4 linked regions of the Drosophila melanogaster genome follow. The protein of the gene in region 3 interacts with the protein of the main gene of each other region in a pairwise test. Each region holds a gene or a part of one and is shown on either strand. Other genes may lie near its edges.

Evidence for each region.
Region 1: the proteins of CG4896 (region 3) and Adi1 interact in a two-hybrid assay, tested with the Drosophila melanogaster proteins (one large-scale study listed by BioGRID).
Region 2: the proteins of CG4896 (region 3) and Arf4 interact in a two-hybrid assay, tested with the Drosophila melanogaster proteins (one large-scale study listed by BioGRID).
Region 4: the proteins of CG4896 (region 3) and CG15022 interact in a two-hybrid assay, tested with the Drosophila melanogaster proteins (one large-scale study listed by BioGRID).

What each region holds. Positions count from the first base shown.
Region 1 is NT_037436.4:10,661,476-10,664,953, forward strand, and holds Adi1 (acireductone dioxygenase 1), read left to right. Parts: upstream 1-1,900; 5' UTR 1,901-1,970; coding exon 1,971-2,093; intron 2,094-2,174; coding exon 2,175-2,252; intron 2,253-2,314; coding exon 2,315-2,442; intron 2,443-2,599; coding exon 2,600-2,693; intron 2,694-2,752; coding exon 2,753-2,890; 3' UTR 2,891-2,960; downstream 2,961-3,478. Other genes in the region: CG8003 (uncharacterized protein), read left to right, coding at 100-306, 375-1,148, 1,209-1,451. UniProt on the Drosophila melanogaster protein: Catalyzes 2 different reactions between oxygen and the acireductone 1,2-dihydroxy-3-keto-5-methylthiopentene (DHK-MTPene) depending upon the metal bound in the active site.
Region 2 is NC_004353.4:1,122,384-1,125,880, reverse strand, and holds Arf4 (ADP ribosylation factor 4), read right to left. Parts: upstream 1,715-3,497; 5' UTR 1,617-1,714; coding exon 1,550-1,616; intron 1,446-1,549; coding exon 1,183-1,445; intron 1,114-1,182; coding exon 988-1,113; intron 932-987; coding exon 845-931; 3' UTR 556-844; downstream 1-555. UniProt on the Drosophila melanogaster protein: GTP-binding protein involved in protein trafficking; may modulate vesicle budding and uncoating within the Golgi apparatus.
Region 3 is NT_033779.5:1,175,666-1,182,967, reverse strand, and holds CG4896 (uncharacterized protein), read right to left. Parts: upstream 5,279-7,302; 5' UTR 5,107-5,278; exon of another isoform or gene 5,021-5,106; 5' UTR 5,019-5,020; coding exon 4,924-5,018; intron 4,861-4,923; coding exon 4,501-4,860; intron 4,128-4,500; coding exon 3,899-4,127; intron 3,842-3,898; coding exon 3,772-3,841; coding exon of another isoform or gene 3,737-3,771; exon of another isoform or gene 3,517-3,736; coding exon 3,443-3,516; exon of another isoform or gene 3,109-3,442; coding exon 3,031-3,108; intron 2,972-3,030; coding exon 2,845-2,971; exon of another isoform or gene 2,756-2,844; coding exon 2,519-2,755; intron 2,456-2,518; coding exon 2,042-2,455; intron 1,974-2,041; coding exon 1,175-1,973; intron 1,114-1,174; coding exon 864-1,113; intron 799-863; coding exon 682-798; 3' UTR 514-681; downstream 1-513. Other genes in the region: CG5126 (uncharacterized protein), read left to right, coding at 1-473; CG4887 (uncharacterized protein), read right to left, coding at 5,596-5,712, 5,777-6,026, 6,087-6,867, 6,925-7,302.
Region 4 is NT_037436.4:4,458,652-4,461,840, forward strand, and holds CG15022 (uncharacterized protein), read right to left. Parts: upstream 1,667-3,189; 5' UTR 1,597-1,666; coding exon 1,594-1,596; intron 1,532-1,593; coding exon 647-1,531; 3' UTR 542-646; downstream 1-541. Other genes in the region: CG15023 (uncharacterized protein), read right to left, coding at 2,095-2,601, 2,666-2,668.

The sequences.
Region 1 (3,478 bases), on a different chromosome or scaffold from region 3:
CAGTATCGCTGTAAGCACGCCGAAAACAGTGGAGTTTCTTGATTTCCATATTCCGAAGAGCACTTGAAAAATCCAACAAAAACAAACAATCGAATCACAATGACCGAGGAAAGCAAGAAGATCGTACAGCTGGACGACGTGCAGCGCCAGTTGCTGGATCATCTGGCCAAGAATGACACCAGTGGATTCAAGCAGCTGCTGAGCGGAGTGAGGAATGTTAATTTCGTGGACGACACCGGGATGTCGTGTTTGGCCCACGCCAGCTTCAAGGGAAACCGCGAGGCGGTGCAGCTGCTCCTGGACATGGTGGGTACATCTGCCAGGCAACCACCGCTTGGGCTCTAAACATGAAATAACCGCCTTTTCTTCCACAGGGTGCCGACATAAACCTCAATCAGCATGGAGCTGATTATACGCCACTGCATTTCGCCGCTCTATCGGGCAATACACATGTGTGCCGGCTTCTTTTGGATGCTGGCATCAAGCCGGGTAGCATCAATAGTGTCAACAGGACCGCCGCCCAAATGGCCGCCTTTGTGGGCAACCACGCCTGCGTGGAGACCATCAACAACTATGTGACCCAGTCGAGTTTGGAGTACTACACCCAAGTGCATGGCCAGCAGACGGAGCCGCATATACCACCCAGCTTACTCAAATCGTTCCACGCCTTTGTCACCGAAATCAACCTGCATCCCGTGAGGATTGCCCTGAATGTGCAGTCCTTGGGATTGCTTAGGATCCTGTCCAGTCTGCGCAAGACGCTGGCTTTGATGTGCGAAAAGGAGATGCAGAAGTCGCATGACCTCAACGAGCTGCTGGCCTTCAAGTTCCATTATCAGGGCTGGATTTTGGCCGAACTAATACGCTGCGAGGAGCAATTCAAGGCGCAGCACAAGGAGAAAAGTGGCGAGGAGGCGGGCGATGCGAACAAGAACGATTTCATCGAGATGTTTGTGAAGCGGGTGCTCAAGGAGAACAAGCTGGGCCAGCTGGACTATGTGGAATACACGTTGCGCGAATGTGCCAGGGAGTTTCCCGTGAGAGAGTGCACCATCTTCCGGCAAATCGCAACGCAATTTGGCGCCAAGGATGCCCCACCAGCACTGACTGTCCTGCGAAATGCCATCAATGGGATGAGGTGGATTACGGTGGGTATCATGATCTCATAATCAAATGATTCTTTTCTAATCTGGAAAACTAATTTTCAGGACGAGGGCAACTACTGCAGCACCTGCGGCGCCGAGAAACCGGACAAGAAGTGCTCCAAGTGCAAGGCGGTGCAGTATTGCGATCGCGAATGCCAGCGGCTGCATTGGTTCATGCACAAGAAGAACTGTGCCCGCCTCCTGGCCCAATCCCAAGCCCAAGCCCAAGCCCAGCCGCAATCGCAAGCGAAGGGAGCCATTGACACGGCCGAGCTGCGCGAGGAACTGTCCAAACTGACTGCGTAATCCTGTGCTCCTTTGTAACGCCAATAAATGTAACATAAAACCAGAAACCTAGCATTTTCGCGTACTAAAAGATTGTTAGTACCAAACTGTCAGATGTCTACACAAATTAAACTAGATAATAGTAACGAAAGGCAAAATTGCACGCTACAAATTCAATTAAAGTCAAAACATACAACAAACTGCCCAAAAATCGTATATCTATCGTAAAATAATAAAGAGTAATAATGGAACAAAAAAAAAATAGAAAAATAACTCCTTTTGAAGGTTATTAAAATTATGGTTATTTTACGTTTTAAATCGAACATTTCAAAAATGAAGTTTTTAAAATAGCAGTATTTCGAACACAAAACTAACAGCATTCATTTTCGAATGTTAAGTTAACAGCACTAGCGGCATTCGCCTGAGTGTCTGTTATCGATTTCGAAAATTCGAAAACGAACAGCTGATGCCAGTTGAATTTTTCTTGTTTAATCTATTTGTTGCTCGTTGCTCGTGAAAACCCGTTTAAAACAGTCCAAAATGGTGCAGGTTTGGTATATGGATACGGAGGAAACCGATCAGCGCCTGGAGCACCACCGCAATCCGCCTGCCTACTTGGAACTGGATGATCTGTACCAGAAGACCGGCGTGGAATACTTTAAGGCAAGTGAAAAGCGAAATTGCGACTTTAAAAACCTTAAGTGACCTTGGGGGCGAGCTTATCTTGATCATTCACATTTGCAGATCAATGCGGACGAGTACCAGAGCGATAATACCCTCACGGAACTGAGGGCAAAACGTGGCTACACCTACGATGATGAGGCAAGATCGATGTTTTCTTGAAAAACATCTACCGAACTTTGGTAAACTTCGAATTATTACAGATCACATGCTCGGAAAAGTGCCTTCCAGACTATGCCAACAAGTTGAAAGCCTTTTTCACCGAACACCTGCACACGGATGAGGAAATTCGCCTGATATTGGAGGGATCCGGTTACTTTGATGTTCGCGAGTAAGTTTTGTTTATTTACACCGCATTTTATAGTATCCCAGCCACATTTTCCCAATTAAATAGTTCAAGCATTCATATTCTTACTGATATTGTTTTTGCTCACACTAATAACATTTTTGGAATTGTTTTAAAACGGAAAACTATTTATTCTTTATAGCAATGAGGACAACTGGTTGCGCATTAAGGTTGTCAAGGGAGATCTGATCATTATACCAGCTGGCATATATCACCGCTTTACTTTGGATACCAATGTAAGTTATTTTGACAATCTTATATACAAACTTAAACTATTTGTATTGTTTTTTCTTAGAACTTTATCAGAACTCGTCGCTATTTTGTGGGCGAACCTGTCTGGGCTCCACACAATCGTCCTGCTGATGAAATGGACTGTCGCAAATCGTACATCAAGCATCAGTCGGAAAACTTTGTGCAATTCAATAAGGTTTAAAAACCTTAAATCTTATCTTTTACCATCAAGTTTGATATTTTGAAATATAAAATCGCTGTGTATAATCAATAGTTTCAATAGTTTTTTGTTTAACTTACAATTTTCGCTGATTAACGTAGTTTTGATATAGAATTCGAAGTCTATTTTCTATATCAATAAACCCCGCCAAAAACTTGATTTCGAATTTTATCTCTTAGTTGGTTGCTGCATATGCTAAACGTACTTTCGAACTCGAATCTCAGAGAGTACAATTCGCGGTATGACCGTACCAGCGCCGAAGAGAAAAAACAGCGCAAGTATATAATCCCAAGCGCCAGCGAAAGTATCGAGCCAACATCGATGCGCGTGCCATCGCTAGGAAGGAAAACAAAACAAACACTTTTTTACTTTTTCATCTCTCGGATCGTTCGGACGTGCTACGCGGTCTCGTCTGTGTGTGTGAGGTAGTGTGCGTGAGCGGAGCGGCGAAAAAGCACAATTGAAATTAAATCGAGTCGTTATCTGTGGATTCGGCGGATACAATACAATATCGTATCGTTATCTATTTACAAACAAATCGACGTGGATTAATAAAATGCCGCACACGAA
Region 2 (3,497 bases), on a different chromosome or scaffold from region 3:
CGCAATAAAACCACCCAAAACGGCCTCGACCACATTTTTAAAAAACTTTCGATATTTTTTCATAGTTTTATATTTTGTCGAATTCTTTCTCGAATTCCACGAGAATCAGATACCATTTACTCAGCAGGAAGTGTGAAAGATTTCAATAAGAATAACCAATTTTTTAAGAATGTTCGGCATGTTTGAGCGATTTTGGGTGGGGGGTTTTGGGGATTTTGGGTTACAAGACTAATAAAAATATTTTAAAATATCAAAAGTTTTCTCTCCGTAAATACCTCTGGAAGCTGCATGTCTAATCTCAATTCTCTACCTTTAATAGTTCTCTTCATACGGACATAGAATCTGCATGTCTAATCTCAATTCCCTACCTTTAATAGTTCCTGAGACCGAGGCGTTCATACGGACATGCCCAGATCAACTCGGATATTGGTCCTGATCAGGAATATATATTCTTTCTAAGGTCGGAAACGCTTCTGCTAACAGTTACGTAGTTTTCAACAAATCTGGTGGCTATTAAAAACTGAATTAACATAAATGAGTACGAATCAAAAATATGTTTATTTGATTGAATTCTGGTAATGGTATTGAGGCATACTAATAAAAAAACGAACATATATTTTCCCGAATAAGTAAGTTAAAAATATATTTTTATTAGTTATCCGATCACTAATTTTTAAAAATACAACTAAGGCAAGTGCAGTTTTCTCACCAACACATAAAACGTGGACATTTTAAATTTACAACAAAGTTCCAAACGAGTTTATATACATTTACAAGTTTATTTAAAATCTAGTTTTCAGCATACGAGAACAGCAATTCCTATCTTACAATATAAGGAATATTTTTATTTTTTAGCCAATTCAGCTGATAGCCAATCAAGTCCTTCATAAAGACCGTGCCCTTGGGTAGCACATGTAGACTGAATAAACCACTAAAAATGGGTAGATATAAGTAAACATTTTTGGGACAATTACCCCTAAGACATACGTGGCGATTCCTTAATTGGTTAAGGCGCAACTTGTCCGTAAGCTCGGCAGCTGTCATTGCATTCGGTAGGTCCTGTTTGTTGGCAAAAACCAAAAGTACCGCGTCCCTAAGTTCATCCTCCTGGAGCTGTGGGAAAAATAAACATGGAATTGGTTGACACGTATGTATATACTTTTAATTAAATAAAATGAGTACCATGTTCTGTAGTTCTCTTTCAGCTTCAGTTATACGATCGCGGTCGTTGGAATCCACTACAAATATAAGACCCTGTGTATTTTGGAAATAGTGTCGCCACAACGGGCGAATTTTGTCTTGGCCACCAACATCCCAAACGGTAAAACATATATTCTTATATTCCACAGTCTCGACATTGAAGCCTATGGTTGGTATGGTGGTTACAATTTCACCCAGCTTTAATTTGTACAGAATAGTCGTTTTTCCAGCAGCATCCAAGCCAACTGCGTACAAAAATATTTAAAATTATGTGCACGTTGATTGCAAGTACTTAAAAATTATGCGCGAACTAAAGGCTTATATTTAGTGTATCGTATTTTGAACATACCCATAAGAATACGCATTTGTTTTTTTCCAAACAAACGTGTCAAAAGACTAGATATTGTTAGTCCCATGTTTAATAAGAAACTATTTTATTTCGTATAGGAAAAAGCTTGTCTTCAGTAACTTCAGTAAATTGACGTGTAAACTAGTCATTCGATTAATAATGCTGTACTTTTCAGAAAAGTTAAACGATGGTTAAAAATACTGTTTTCTATAAAATACTAATAACAGTATGTTGACTATACCCTAAGCATGGTCTGATGAAAACAATAAAAAGAAACACAAAACTACATCGATAATACAATGTTTTGACTGCGCCATTAAGTCGAATGTCGATAAAACCATTTTCGTGTACATTTTTTAAGTGAAATATTTAAATTGACCTAGAAAGGCTGCCCCCAAGGGGTTAGTGAGCATATAACTTAGACTCGGAGTTACACAATTTTTAAAAATCACAACTGTTTTTTACGAATGTGCTCTGTAGGACTATGGTATTATTCGCGAATTCTAATTGCCAAAACAACTTTTTCAAATCAAATTTAAAAATCAAATTTAAAAACGATGTTACAAATTTTTCAAACACTATAAAGCTGCCTGAAAACAAAAAACTTAGGTTCTTCCTCTCTATTAACCAAAAATTAAGACATTTTTATTAATCAAAGGTCTGCTATTGCCAATATGTCGATATCAGGCCAAGATAAATGACAATCACTATATTTTGGTTGCGATTTGCAATAGTTAACAACATAAATATTCTGCCTCTGATCAAAAATAAAAAAAAAATGTTGAGTCTTGGGATATCAAGGAATCAAAATATCTATATATGAAAATATCCTACCCAAAAATTCCAGTCATTTGTAAATCAAAACAGCGTAAGCACCCCTTAACTTTCCTTTTAAACAAACCATGGTATCACTTAAAATTCGATTAAAATGTTAGAGCATAGTCTCCACAGGGCCTTATATGTTGTTTTTTTTAATCACTTTTCAAGTATTAACCACTTCCACACAAGGATCTGAAAATGTCGGATAAACGTTTCCAGTGTATTGACTTCTGTATTTAAACTTACAACTAGTTTTTCAAACGTCACAAGTAATTATTTTGCTGACAAAAGTAAGAAACTATGTAATGAAACAAAAAAAATTATTTTCTGAGATTTTGTTAATGTGCCCCGTCTAATTAACTTGTACTATTTCATATTTGAGTCGATTTAAATCTATGCATATGTAAAAGTTATAATCAAAGTATTTAGGTTACGCATGATTCCCTTCGGATAGGTTCGCTATTCGTTCAGTTAGGCAATCCAAGTTCATTACAGAATGTGTATCTCTTGGATACAACACATACACAAGATTTTCTCATCCATGCATATTCATATATACTAATGTAATACATATATGTAATCCAACAATCAGTTTCACTGTGGTACATTTTATAATGTTTAATCATATATAGTCACGGGAACTAGAGTTTATACACGGTCCTCGAATAAAATGTGTTTTGGAGCTGTAAGCTAATCAACAAAAAATGAGACTAACTAAAAAAAAGTGCTACTAAAATTCCCAGACTTTCCACTTTCTGTCCTACATATATATAATTAAAGAAAATCCGAACCAATTTGAATAACTTATCTATTTTATTCTAACACCAACAACAACTTTAAAAAGTTTTTGATTTAACGTAAAAAATTGGCCGTAATTCTTGTTGCTTTGGTTACATTCTTTCTATTGTATTGTACCAACGAAAAAAGTAGAGAAGCACCGAGACGGTAGTGGAATTATTCCGGAACACTTTCGATACTCTTTTTCGAGTGGAAGTGGTTTCATGAGGAGGAAATTTGGTGTTCCTTTTTGCCGGGCTCTTTCATACTTCCCGTGCTGTAGGAACTCCGTGAAAAGCTTCTGTAAGCATTCCCTAAATGTCTTCTGGATATATTCCGAGACTATATTACA
Region 3 (7,302 bases):
ACGCTATCAAAGCCATCGATTTCCAGGAGCTGCGCTTCAGCACTACGGCCATTGACCTGAGCTTCTTTATGTACATGAACACGCCATCCGAAGGAAGGAAGGAGATCTACGCCGACTTGTTGCGCAAGTACCATCGAAGCATGATCGAAATGTTGGAACTGGTTCTGCGCCGAAACCGGAACGAGTTGACCGACGATCGGGTGGACCAGTTGCTACAGGAATACAGCTTCGAACGCTTCAATGCCCACTTCAAACGATATGCCTTCTACGGACCAATGGTATGCATGCACTTCCTTCCCTGGCTGCTCGGCACCGAGAAGGATTGCGCCGAGTTGTCCCGCCTCTTCGAGACGGATATGCACGGCCCCGCCTTCCACCAGTTGTCCTTGGACATCGCTGGCGATGAGGCGAACCAGGAGATCTTCAAGACCGTTCGTCACGCCTATGAGCATGGCTACATGGACGAGATTTAGATTCCCTTGCACAATTCCATACTTAAAGCATTTACAATTTAAATTTAAACCTAATTTGAGACTGTATTTACGAACTATTTACAATTTGAACTTCGCAACTAATGCTAAATGAACGCGACAAGGTGGAGGAAGTGTAATCGAGGTAAACAACAATGCTTAAATGCCCCTATATTCAAGCGGAATAAAATCATACACTTTAAGAAGAGTCTCAGGCGTTCTCATAACGCTGCTTCATCATCTTTTTGATGTAGGATTTGTAGTCGTTCCCAGGCGCCATATGGCCAGTGTTGTTGCCCAGCCCCACGTTGTTAGAACGACCATCAGCCTGTGGATACACATTGACATTGAATTATCCATATTTTGCCATTCGTCGCCCTCGTCGACTCCTACCTCTATGATCTCGGTGCGTCCCTGGTTCTTTTTGCCCAGTCCCTGGCCCTCCGACCAGCCCATCTTCTGCATCAGGCGGCTGCCCACGTTGGTCGAACTGATGGGCATGGCTGCAGTGGCGCCAAAAGAATCCTTCTGGCGCGACTGCAAAGTCTTTATCTCTTGCTCGAAACGCTCCCGGCTCCTATTTGGTGGAGGAGGATCGCTCTCACCGTACTTCAGCCTGCGTTCCTTGGCACGATCACGATAGCTAAGTACGGGTAAGTAAATTAGTGAGTTTATCTCCATTCTAGCAGCATATTCCCACTTACGATAGACCCTCATCCGTGCCAGCCTCAACTGCGGGATTCCGTTTAAGCTTGTCCAGATTCTCCTTGTGTAGATTCGACATTTTCAAATGCTTCTGCAAGATGTCCAGCGATTGGAAGGCACGCATGCAGAGCAGGCAAGTAAGTTTTTGGAAGTCCACGTAGTCAGATTCATCGCTAATGGCTCGTTTAGTCCCAACGCTAGCTTCAAGTGCTTTCTGATTGGCACTATTATCATCTTCCGAGTCAGAAGGTCCTCCATAAGCACCAACCAATTTGCTTATCGCTGGAGGTCCTGCCTCCGGTACATAGTCGTTGAGCTTGCCAAGCTCCTTCTTCTCAAGGATTGAGAATCCCACATCAGCATATGCCCCTTGGGAAGCACGGGAGGTGGTGGCCGCCTCAGTATCCGACAGGATAGGCTGCGGCGTTGCCACTGCTGTGTAGTCCTTTTTTTGGTTTAGCTGCTTGGCCCACTTCTCCATGTCCTTGACGATCTTCTTGGCCACCTTCACCTTGTCGGGCTTCCCCCCAGCTTCCTCCTTTTCTTTTTCCTTCTCCTTTGCCTTTTTGGCCTCCTCCTCCTTTTTCTCGGCATCGGCTAATACTTCCTTGAGGGCTGCCTGAGTGGAAGCGGGTGTGGCCAGCACATAGGTGCTCCGCTTCTGATCCCAGTACAAATACGCGCCCGTCTCGTTGTTGTAGTAGTACTGCGAGTGGGCATCATAGTAGAGTCCTGTAACGTGGTCGTAGTAGTAGCCGGAGGTCTCGTCGTACTGGTACTTGGACACATCGGGAGTATCTAACCATTGAGCATGAAATATTCGACATTACAGGAGCGCATAGATAGAATAGTGTGCGCTCACTTACCGTATTTCTTGCCATCATTCCCCTTGGGAGCACTTTCACCCCTGGCAAGGAAGGCGACCTTCGCCTCTGTCACCGAAACCGTGGTCTCCATCTGGCTGACCTTCCGTTGCTTGCGCTGGATGGCCGAGAGAGCAACGGCAGCGCCGGAGTTGGCCTCCGTCACTTGACGATCTCTGCAGTTCTTGCTTATTTCAGTCGTGTAATAATCCGTATAGTACTGGACGTAGTTAGCATGCTCCAACGGATTCGAGGCATACACGGATGCACTGTACTCCGCAAGACGAGGCACATCCGCCAAAGTGTAGGCCGCCGTAATGGCCGACGGAGACATCGCTGTTTCACCTGCTCTAAAAAAGTTGCCTTCGGCTGGCATCATTTGACGGTTTTCGGAGTCAATGCAGTAGGTGACGATAACTGAAGGGCATGGATTAAAGTTTTGTTTTTTAATTATGAAATAATTAAGAAGTAATAATTTACCTGTTTTGTCGTCCAGAGTGAGTGGCGGATCCAACGCCGTCAGCCCGTTGAACACGTTCATAGAATCAATGAGTGTGTCAAAATTGAGGTAGCAAATGCCCCGAGATGCATTGGTTAGGGCGTCGCGACTGACCAGCACCTTGCTGACTGTTTTGGCCAGTTCGGGCAGGCGCTGCTGAAGGGCAGTTAGCACGCCCTCCTCGTTTGTCAGCGCGTCCAAGCCGCGAAGCATGATCTCTGCATGGGGAAAGCGTGGCAGGTTAGTGGGGTATTTAGCTGATTAGCTAGGAAACGGCATTGAAAGATATTGCTCATGGTGGATATACTTTTTGTGAGGATTTGGCTGATCTCGTCGACGCCCTCGCCGGCTCCGTAAAGAGCATTCTCGCTCTCCGCCCGCGACGCATTGCACATGTAGCATTGGAAGCGGCGCTTAAAGTTGCTGGCACCACACTGAAGGATGGCGAAAAAAGCTAATTATTGTTGCCAATCTGTATCTTAACGGAGCATACCTTAATGCAAGTCCAGTCTGAGATGCGAGTGTGACTATACTGCATGGTGACACGATGATCGCCCAGTTGGAGGACTCCCTGAACGGAAAAATAGAAGAGGTAAAATTGGAATTAGTAACTGAAACTGCTGATCAGGCAAATCGTTCACAGACTACACAGTCACCAAGATTGCATCTGTGTTTTTCGACATCACGCAGATGCTGGTTGCTTCCTTTACGTAAGATTCGATTCCGCCTTTGAGTTCAGTTCCCTGATCTAAGACAGAAAAATGGAAGGGACAGGCAGCCCACCAGCAGAATTGAACTCAAGGCACACATTTTTCAACAGTTGATGCCAAGCTATCGGATCTTGCCGTCATTTCTATTTTGGCGGATACGAGAAGATTCAAGATTCTTGTGGTTTTTAGGGATACCTGGGTTAACTCCATCCAACGAGTCGCCTCCTCAACGGTTTTAAACTCGACAAATGCAAAACAGCGTGAGGCACCTAAATTTTAGATAGAAGTAGATACGAAAATGTTTGGTCAAAAAATGTTGGTTGTATCATTAGCATTGTGTCATTTTTGGGGATTGTGTTTTTGTTTCGGTTTGTAGTTTTCTATATGTTTTTGCTGATGTCGAAGCCAAGTATAATTGAAATTGCTATAAGTCCTACATCGAACATGTTGCTGGGCACGCAATACTCACGCTTTCTCTACAATTTCACTTTAAATCGAATGTAACACACGGAAATGTAACCCACCTGTTTGTTGCTTCCTCATCACGCGAATGGATGTGGGCTCCAGGTCGACCTTGATCAGCTCGCCCATGATCTGTGGAGGATTACTTGGTTAATTTTACATTCGTTCTGCTTATCGCTTAAACATTACGTCTGCTTCCGTGACGTGCTTCTTCAGACCGAAGAGGATTATGTTGTTCAAGGGCTCAACGCTGCTGCCACTGTTGTAGGCACCTCTCTGCCTGAATTCGCTGGCCATGTCGCTGTCCTCGTCCGAGGAACACCGTCTATCTCGATCGCGCTCCTTCTCGCGATCTCTGTAACTGCTGCTGGAGTTACTATTTCCATTATTATTGAACTGCCGCTGGTCATTGCTGCGGCTGAAAGGAAAGCGATTCTTTAAGGTCATACAATGAGCACTTTGTCGAATAAATTTTCGTTCGGTTCGTTTGAAACCATCGTTTGCATACTATCCACTGTAATTAAAGGCATCCAGCATGAATATTTCATAAGATGATTTGTATGCATTTATGCGAACAAAGGGAAGTGTACATTACTGAATGGGTTGATTTCTAATTATTTTGACTTTTATTACAAGTGATTAGCAAATGAAAGGTCTTTTAAACTAGTGAAAGAGGAGTCCTCCTTCTTATGGAAGCCTTGTGAATGGAAACATAGAACTTAGCTTAATCTTAATCTCAGTGATAACACTGAGCACGATATGGGTAATATGCAATATGTATCATTTCTTACCTGCTGCGCTCCGATCCCCGATCGAAGTCATCATGGTTGCGCTCTCTCGAAACGCGATCGTAGTTTTTCCAGCGGTGATCGCGGTCCTTATCCATATCCTGGCCACTCTTGTCGTAGTTGCTATCGTGATCCCTGCGACCCTGGCTATCAGCATGCCGACGATCGTATTTGTCCTCGCCGTGGCGCTGGTCAAGGTTCTGTCTCGAGTTGTAGTTTCCCTGATCCTCGTAATCCTCGTTGATCAGGTCGCGGTACAGATCGCGATCCGGACTGCGGTCGTTTCTATAGTGTGAGGACCGCTCCCGACTGCGCGAACGGGAGTTGCGACGTCTGTACTCATTGCGGTCCCGACTTCGTTCCCTGAAATAATCGCAATTGGTAGTAATCCACTAAGAGGCTCCAGGTGGACAAAGGACTACCTACCTGGATCGGGATCGGGAGCGACTGTAGCGTCTGTAGCCCGATTCGCTGCCGTTTCCGTTGCCGCCCGAGAAGCTGTGACCATATCGAGAATCCATATCTAATGCGAATCGATTGTAATTAAATGCAGTGTTTGTGATTTGGCCTTTTGCCATTAGATGAACCGTCTATGTGCGCACATCTTACTTGGTTACCACGACTGTAACAGGATTGGAAGCTGGTTAAACTTGTTCCCGAACTGGAAGTCTCTTTGCATTCAGGCAGAAACAATCAGTTATCCGGCCAAAAAAAAAAACCCGAATAGAAAAATTCTCGGTCTTCTTTTTTGCCGTTCACCCGAAGTATCTGACTGCCAGTTATCGATAACTGACCGATAGCTCCAGGGCTACCAAGTGCCAGCTAACAGTTGTTTCCCAACACCAAGCAAATTTAAACTTTACACCGTTACATTTTATTTTGTACATTCGAAAAAGGATTTAAATTCGCTTAATCAGAAACTATTAACTAAACGGTCACACTTGCTCGTGGACTTAAAAAAACGCCAATCTGTTAGGAAAACAATGCTCAAGAAGCTTCATATATAATATGGAAATAATTTTTGCTTCGGTTGAAAAGCTGAATTAAACGGCGACTTTAGTTGAAATGAAACATGTGAAACGGCTAAAAACCAATTTCTCAAGCATTCTCGTAGCGCTGCTTCATCATCTTCTTTATATAGGATTTGTAGTCGTTGCCCGGTATCATCTGTCCCGATTTGTTGCCCAAGCCCACGTAATTGGAGCGTCCGTCCGCCTGAGGGAACCCAAAATGCTTAATTTTCTTAATTCATTTTATAGCTTGCCGTCAGCTCAGTTACCTCTATGATCTGGGTGCGTCCCTGGTTCTTCCTGCCCAGTCCCTGTCCCTCCGACCAACCCATCTTTTGGAGCAGTCGACTGCCCACGTTGCTCGAACTGATGGGCATGGCTGGAGTAGCGCTAGTAGACTGCTTTTGCCGCGACTGCAGTGTCTTGATCTCCTGCTCGAATCGCTCCCTGCTCCTATTTGGTGGGGGAGGATCGCTCTCGCCGTACTTCAGCCTGCGCTCCTTGGCACGATCACGATAGCTGGGAAAGAATATGAATTCAATGATAATATACTCCACCACACATCGCGATTTCACTTACGCTAGTGCCTCTTCGATGCTACTGCTAGTGTTTTGATTGAGCTTGGCCAGGTTCTCCTTGTGCAGAGTGGACATCTTCAAGTGCTTCTGGAGTATTTCCAACGATTGGAAGGCACGCTTGCAGAGCAGGCATGTCAGTTTATGGAAGTCCACGTAATCGGACTCTTCAGCACCTCCTCCGCCGCTTACAACCGCTGAACTCTGTGTGTTTTGCGAACTCGCAGCATTGTCCTCTTCAGAGTCCGATGTTCCGCCATAGGCATTGACAAGCTTGTTCATTGGACCCACAGTCGGGTTTGGCGCATAGTCGTTTAACTTGCCCCTCTCCTTCTTCTCGAGAATGGAGAATCCCACATCAGCATATCCCCCTTGATTGCCACGCGAAGTGGTGGCTACCTCGTTCGCCAATATTGGTTGTGGCGTGGCCACAGCTGTGTAGTCCTTTTTCTGGTTTAGCTGCTTGGCCCACTTCTCCATGTCCTTGACGATCTTCTTCGCCACCTTAACCTTGTCGTGCTTGTTTCCACCCTCCTTCTCCTTCGCCTTTTTGGACTCCTCCTCCCCCTTTTGCTCGGCGTCGGCCAGGACTTCCTGCAGAGCTGCCTGAGTGGAGGCGGGCGTGGCCAGCACATAGGTGCTCCTGCGCTGATCCCAGTAAAGATACGCGCCCGTCTCGTTGTTATAGTAGTACTGCGAGTGGGCATTGTAGTAGAGACCCGTGGTACTGTCGTAATAGTAGCCGGATGTCTCATCATACTGGTACTGCGTCACATCGGGAGTGGCTGCAACATAATGAAACATAATAAAATGCTAGCATACTCAAGTGAGTGGCGACATACGGTATATCTTTCCATCGTTGCCCTTGGGCGCACTGGCCACCTGAGCAGCCAATGTGGCCTTCACTTGCGCCGCTGCCTGTGCGGCAGCTGTGGCCGCCGCTGTGATCGTGGTCTCGATACTGCTCATCTTCTTCTGCTTGCGCTGGATGGCCGAGAGGGCAACCGCTGCTCCGGAATTGGCTTCCGTCAAATGGGAATCCCTGTTATTTTTGTTTATATCTGCCGTGTAGTACTCCGTATAGTACTGGACATAATAAGCGTGCTCTGCGGGATTCGAAGCGTACAGGGAGGCACTATATTCAGCGAGTCGTGGCACATCGGCCAGAGTATAGTTTCCACCCAATCCTGAGGGCGAAACTGCTGAAATGTTCCCGCTAT
Region 4 (3,189 bases), on a different chromosome or scaffold from region 3:
ACTATCAGGTTTTAATTAAAATGCTTAAAGACAAAATGAAAGACAAATCAAGTGTGCTATTAAAGTAACCTAATGTTTAAACATTTAAACTTTAACCCTTTTCAAAAGAGCATACTCAATTCGTTAGGGGCTTAATTATTTATTTCTGTCTAATCTTTTCATGGCACCTTTAAAAGACTTGCCCCATCTCTGGGCAACATTGAAAGAGGTCAACTGTCGTCCCATTGCCGATGGCTGCAATTGGCGATTAGCGATTTTGGTTCGGTTTGAACCTTTCTGTAACCGACACCGATCAATCCCTATAAATATATTCAAACCAAAACTCACATCATTTTTCATCCAAAAAGACAGTAATTATCGACACTGCAGGTGATGATCGAGCTGAACTAAAGCTAAAACCGAAGCCGTTTGGCTATTTCGGTTGATTGGCCGCAATTAGATTTGGAGGTCAGATTGAAATCCACATGGATCCCTTGGGGGCTGGGTGACAGCAATTTGGGTTTGATATCTTTGACCTTGAGGATGGGGAAAGAGTGCGAGTGGTGTAATACTCCATTTTATTTTTTGTTAAAAATGCTTTTAATGTGTACAGCTTAAAACTAGATGCAGTGCTTGTGGTTTGGTTTTTTTTCGGTGGTTGATTATCCTAATGCCTGAAACGGCGAAGTGGAGGCTTGTAGTGGTAACCAGGCTCGGCGTCGTGGATTGGACTTGGTGCAGGGCCCAAGGGCAGTGCATAGGATGGAATCGGTATGTGGAAATCTACCTCAGGCTGGGGTGGCAGATATTTTTGTTCGGGCTTAGGAGGCAGATACTTCTCGACGGGCTCGGAAGGTGGCAGGTACTTAGTCTCCGGCTCGGCAGGAGGAAGATACAGCTTCTTGGGAGCCACTGGTGGGGGTGGAGGTGGTGGTGGCAGACTGGGTGCAACCTTGGGTGGCAGATACCTTGCCACTGGAGCAGGTGGCAGATACTTCACCTCGGGCGTCGGAGGAGGAAGGTACTTGGACTCTGGCGGACTGGGAGGCAGATATGTGGGCTTGGGCGCCACAACTGGAGGTGGTGGTGGAGGAGGCAGGCTGGGAGCGACCTTGGGTGGCAGATACTTGGCCACCGGTTCGGGGGGCAGGTACTTCACTTCAGGCTTTGAGGGAGGCAGATAAGTTGCCTTGGGCGGTGGAGGTGGTGGCGGTGGCAGGGAAACCTTGGGCGGCAGGTACTTCTGGCGAGGTTTCTCTGGAGGTCCATAGCTATATCCGCTAGGGATATCGAACTTGGCCTCTTGATGATGATGATGGTGGTGATCCGGCTGATAGTGCAGATCAATGTGCAGATCATGATGATCGTGTGACGAGGGAGAATGGTGGTGGGAATGGACATCATAGTGGTGGTGATCATGATCGTGATCGTGATCATGGTGGTGATGGTGATCATGGCCGTGATCGTGGTAACCTCCTCCGTACAGGTGGGACACGTCTGCCCGAATACAGATGGCAAAGCCTGCCAGAGCCAAAAGGATCAGCATGGGTTTCTGTAAAATAACCAACCTCCTGTTAGGTCATCTTTATTAGAGAATATGCCGCTACTGTTTACCATTTCCTTTAAGAGATAATCCACCGATCGAGATGATGTTGCTGCCGTTTGATGACAGCAGGTAGTAATGTCAATAACGTCGATGGTCACCGCTTTTATACAAAGATCGCGCCTTCCTCGACCGGCTGGCTATTTGGTTTTCTTCACACTTTTCTTGGTTTTCATGAACTTGAGGTCGGCCAATTATCGGCGTGTGTTATCTCCCTCTACCCCAAAACAATTAATGCGATTTCGACCAAATTAGCTCTGCACAACAAAGCAGCTCATGAATATGCAGCGGATGCGACGAAATCCCAGACAATTGACGGTGATTGACTCGGCCATCTGTACCACTTTTGTCCCATCCCAATAAATATTTGGGAGATACCGATGCTAATGGGGTTAACAAAACAGCGTTTATTGAGATGGCTTTAACCTTATATAAACCTAAGCCTAGTGGAACGATTTAAAACAAAACTAATCCGGGGAAATCTTCCATGTTCAGTTCGATCGCGATTTTGCTCAGAAGGTGAACTCTTGGGCGGGCACATCGTAGTGGTAACCCGGTTCCGGTTGTGGTGGTGGGGGTGGAAGGTACGTGGGCACTGGCGTGGGTGCAGGTGTCGTTGTGGTTGTAGTGGTGGTGGTGGTAGTGGTACGCGGTGGTGGAGGTGGGGGAGGAAGGTAAGTGGGAGCAGGAGTGGGAGCGGGAGTGGTTGTCGTGGTAGTGGTAGTAGGTGGAGGGGGAGGAAGGTAGGTAGGAGCGGGAGTAGGAGCCGGAGTGGTTGTGGTGGTAGTTGTGGTTGTGGGCGGAGGAGGAGGTAGGTAAGTGGGTACTGGTTTGGGTGGCAGATAAGTCGGTGGTGGCGGTGGTGGCTCCGTCGTCGAGGTAATCACAAATGGTATCTCCGGCTTGGGGTAGTCATAGCCATAGCCATGCTCATGATGCTCCTCCAGGAGTTCCAGCGGCAAATGCGAAACATCACCGGCTGCAAAAGCCAGCAGACAGGTAGCCAAAATGAATAGCTTCTGAAATAGGAAAGAAATCGTGAAGTTCAGATTGCTTCTCATATCTACAACTGACCACACTCACCATCTCCTTTATGATATGTCTAACACCTTGAGCTCTTAAACCACAAATGATTGAGCGTTTGCATCCACGTCGGTTTATTTATAGTCAAAATTCTAAAACAGATCGATACTGTCCATGGCGCTCTAGAGGCCAATTATTATCATTTAAATCGATATAACACCGCTAGCCCCACGGCATTCTTTGTATCGGTAAATGTATCTGTATCTGTAGCGCTCTCCGCAGCCATGTTTATATGAATGATTAGCGCCACAATAGTGCGCCGAAGTTGACAGAGGAGCAGCGTCAACATCGCCAACTTTGTTTCGGAACTATTATGCCTATATGGGGCCCTACTGAGCCGTTTTTCATCAACGTCGTCACTTGGGTTTTCATTGTTACGGTGTTAAAGGTATGACCAAACTTCCGACGGAACCTGGGGCACAAAAGCTTAGCACACAGAAAAACAGTCATAAATTCATAAAAATTCTGAGCAGATTTTGAATCAATTTGAAATAAGTAATCAGCGAGTACTTGCATTCTGATAT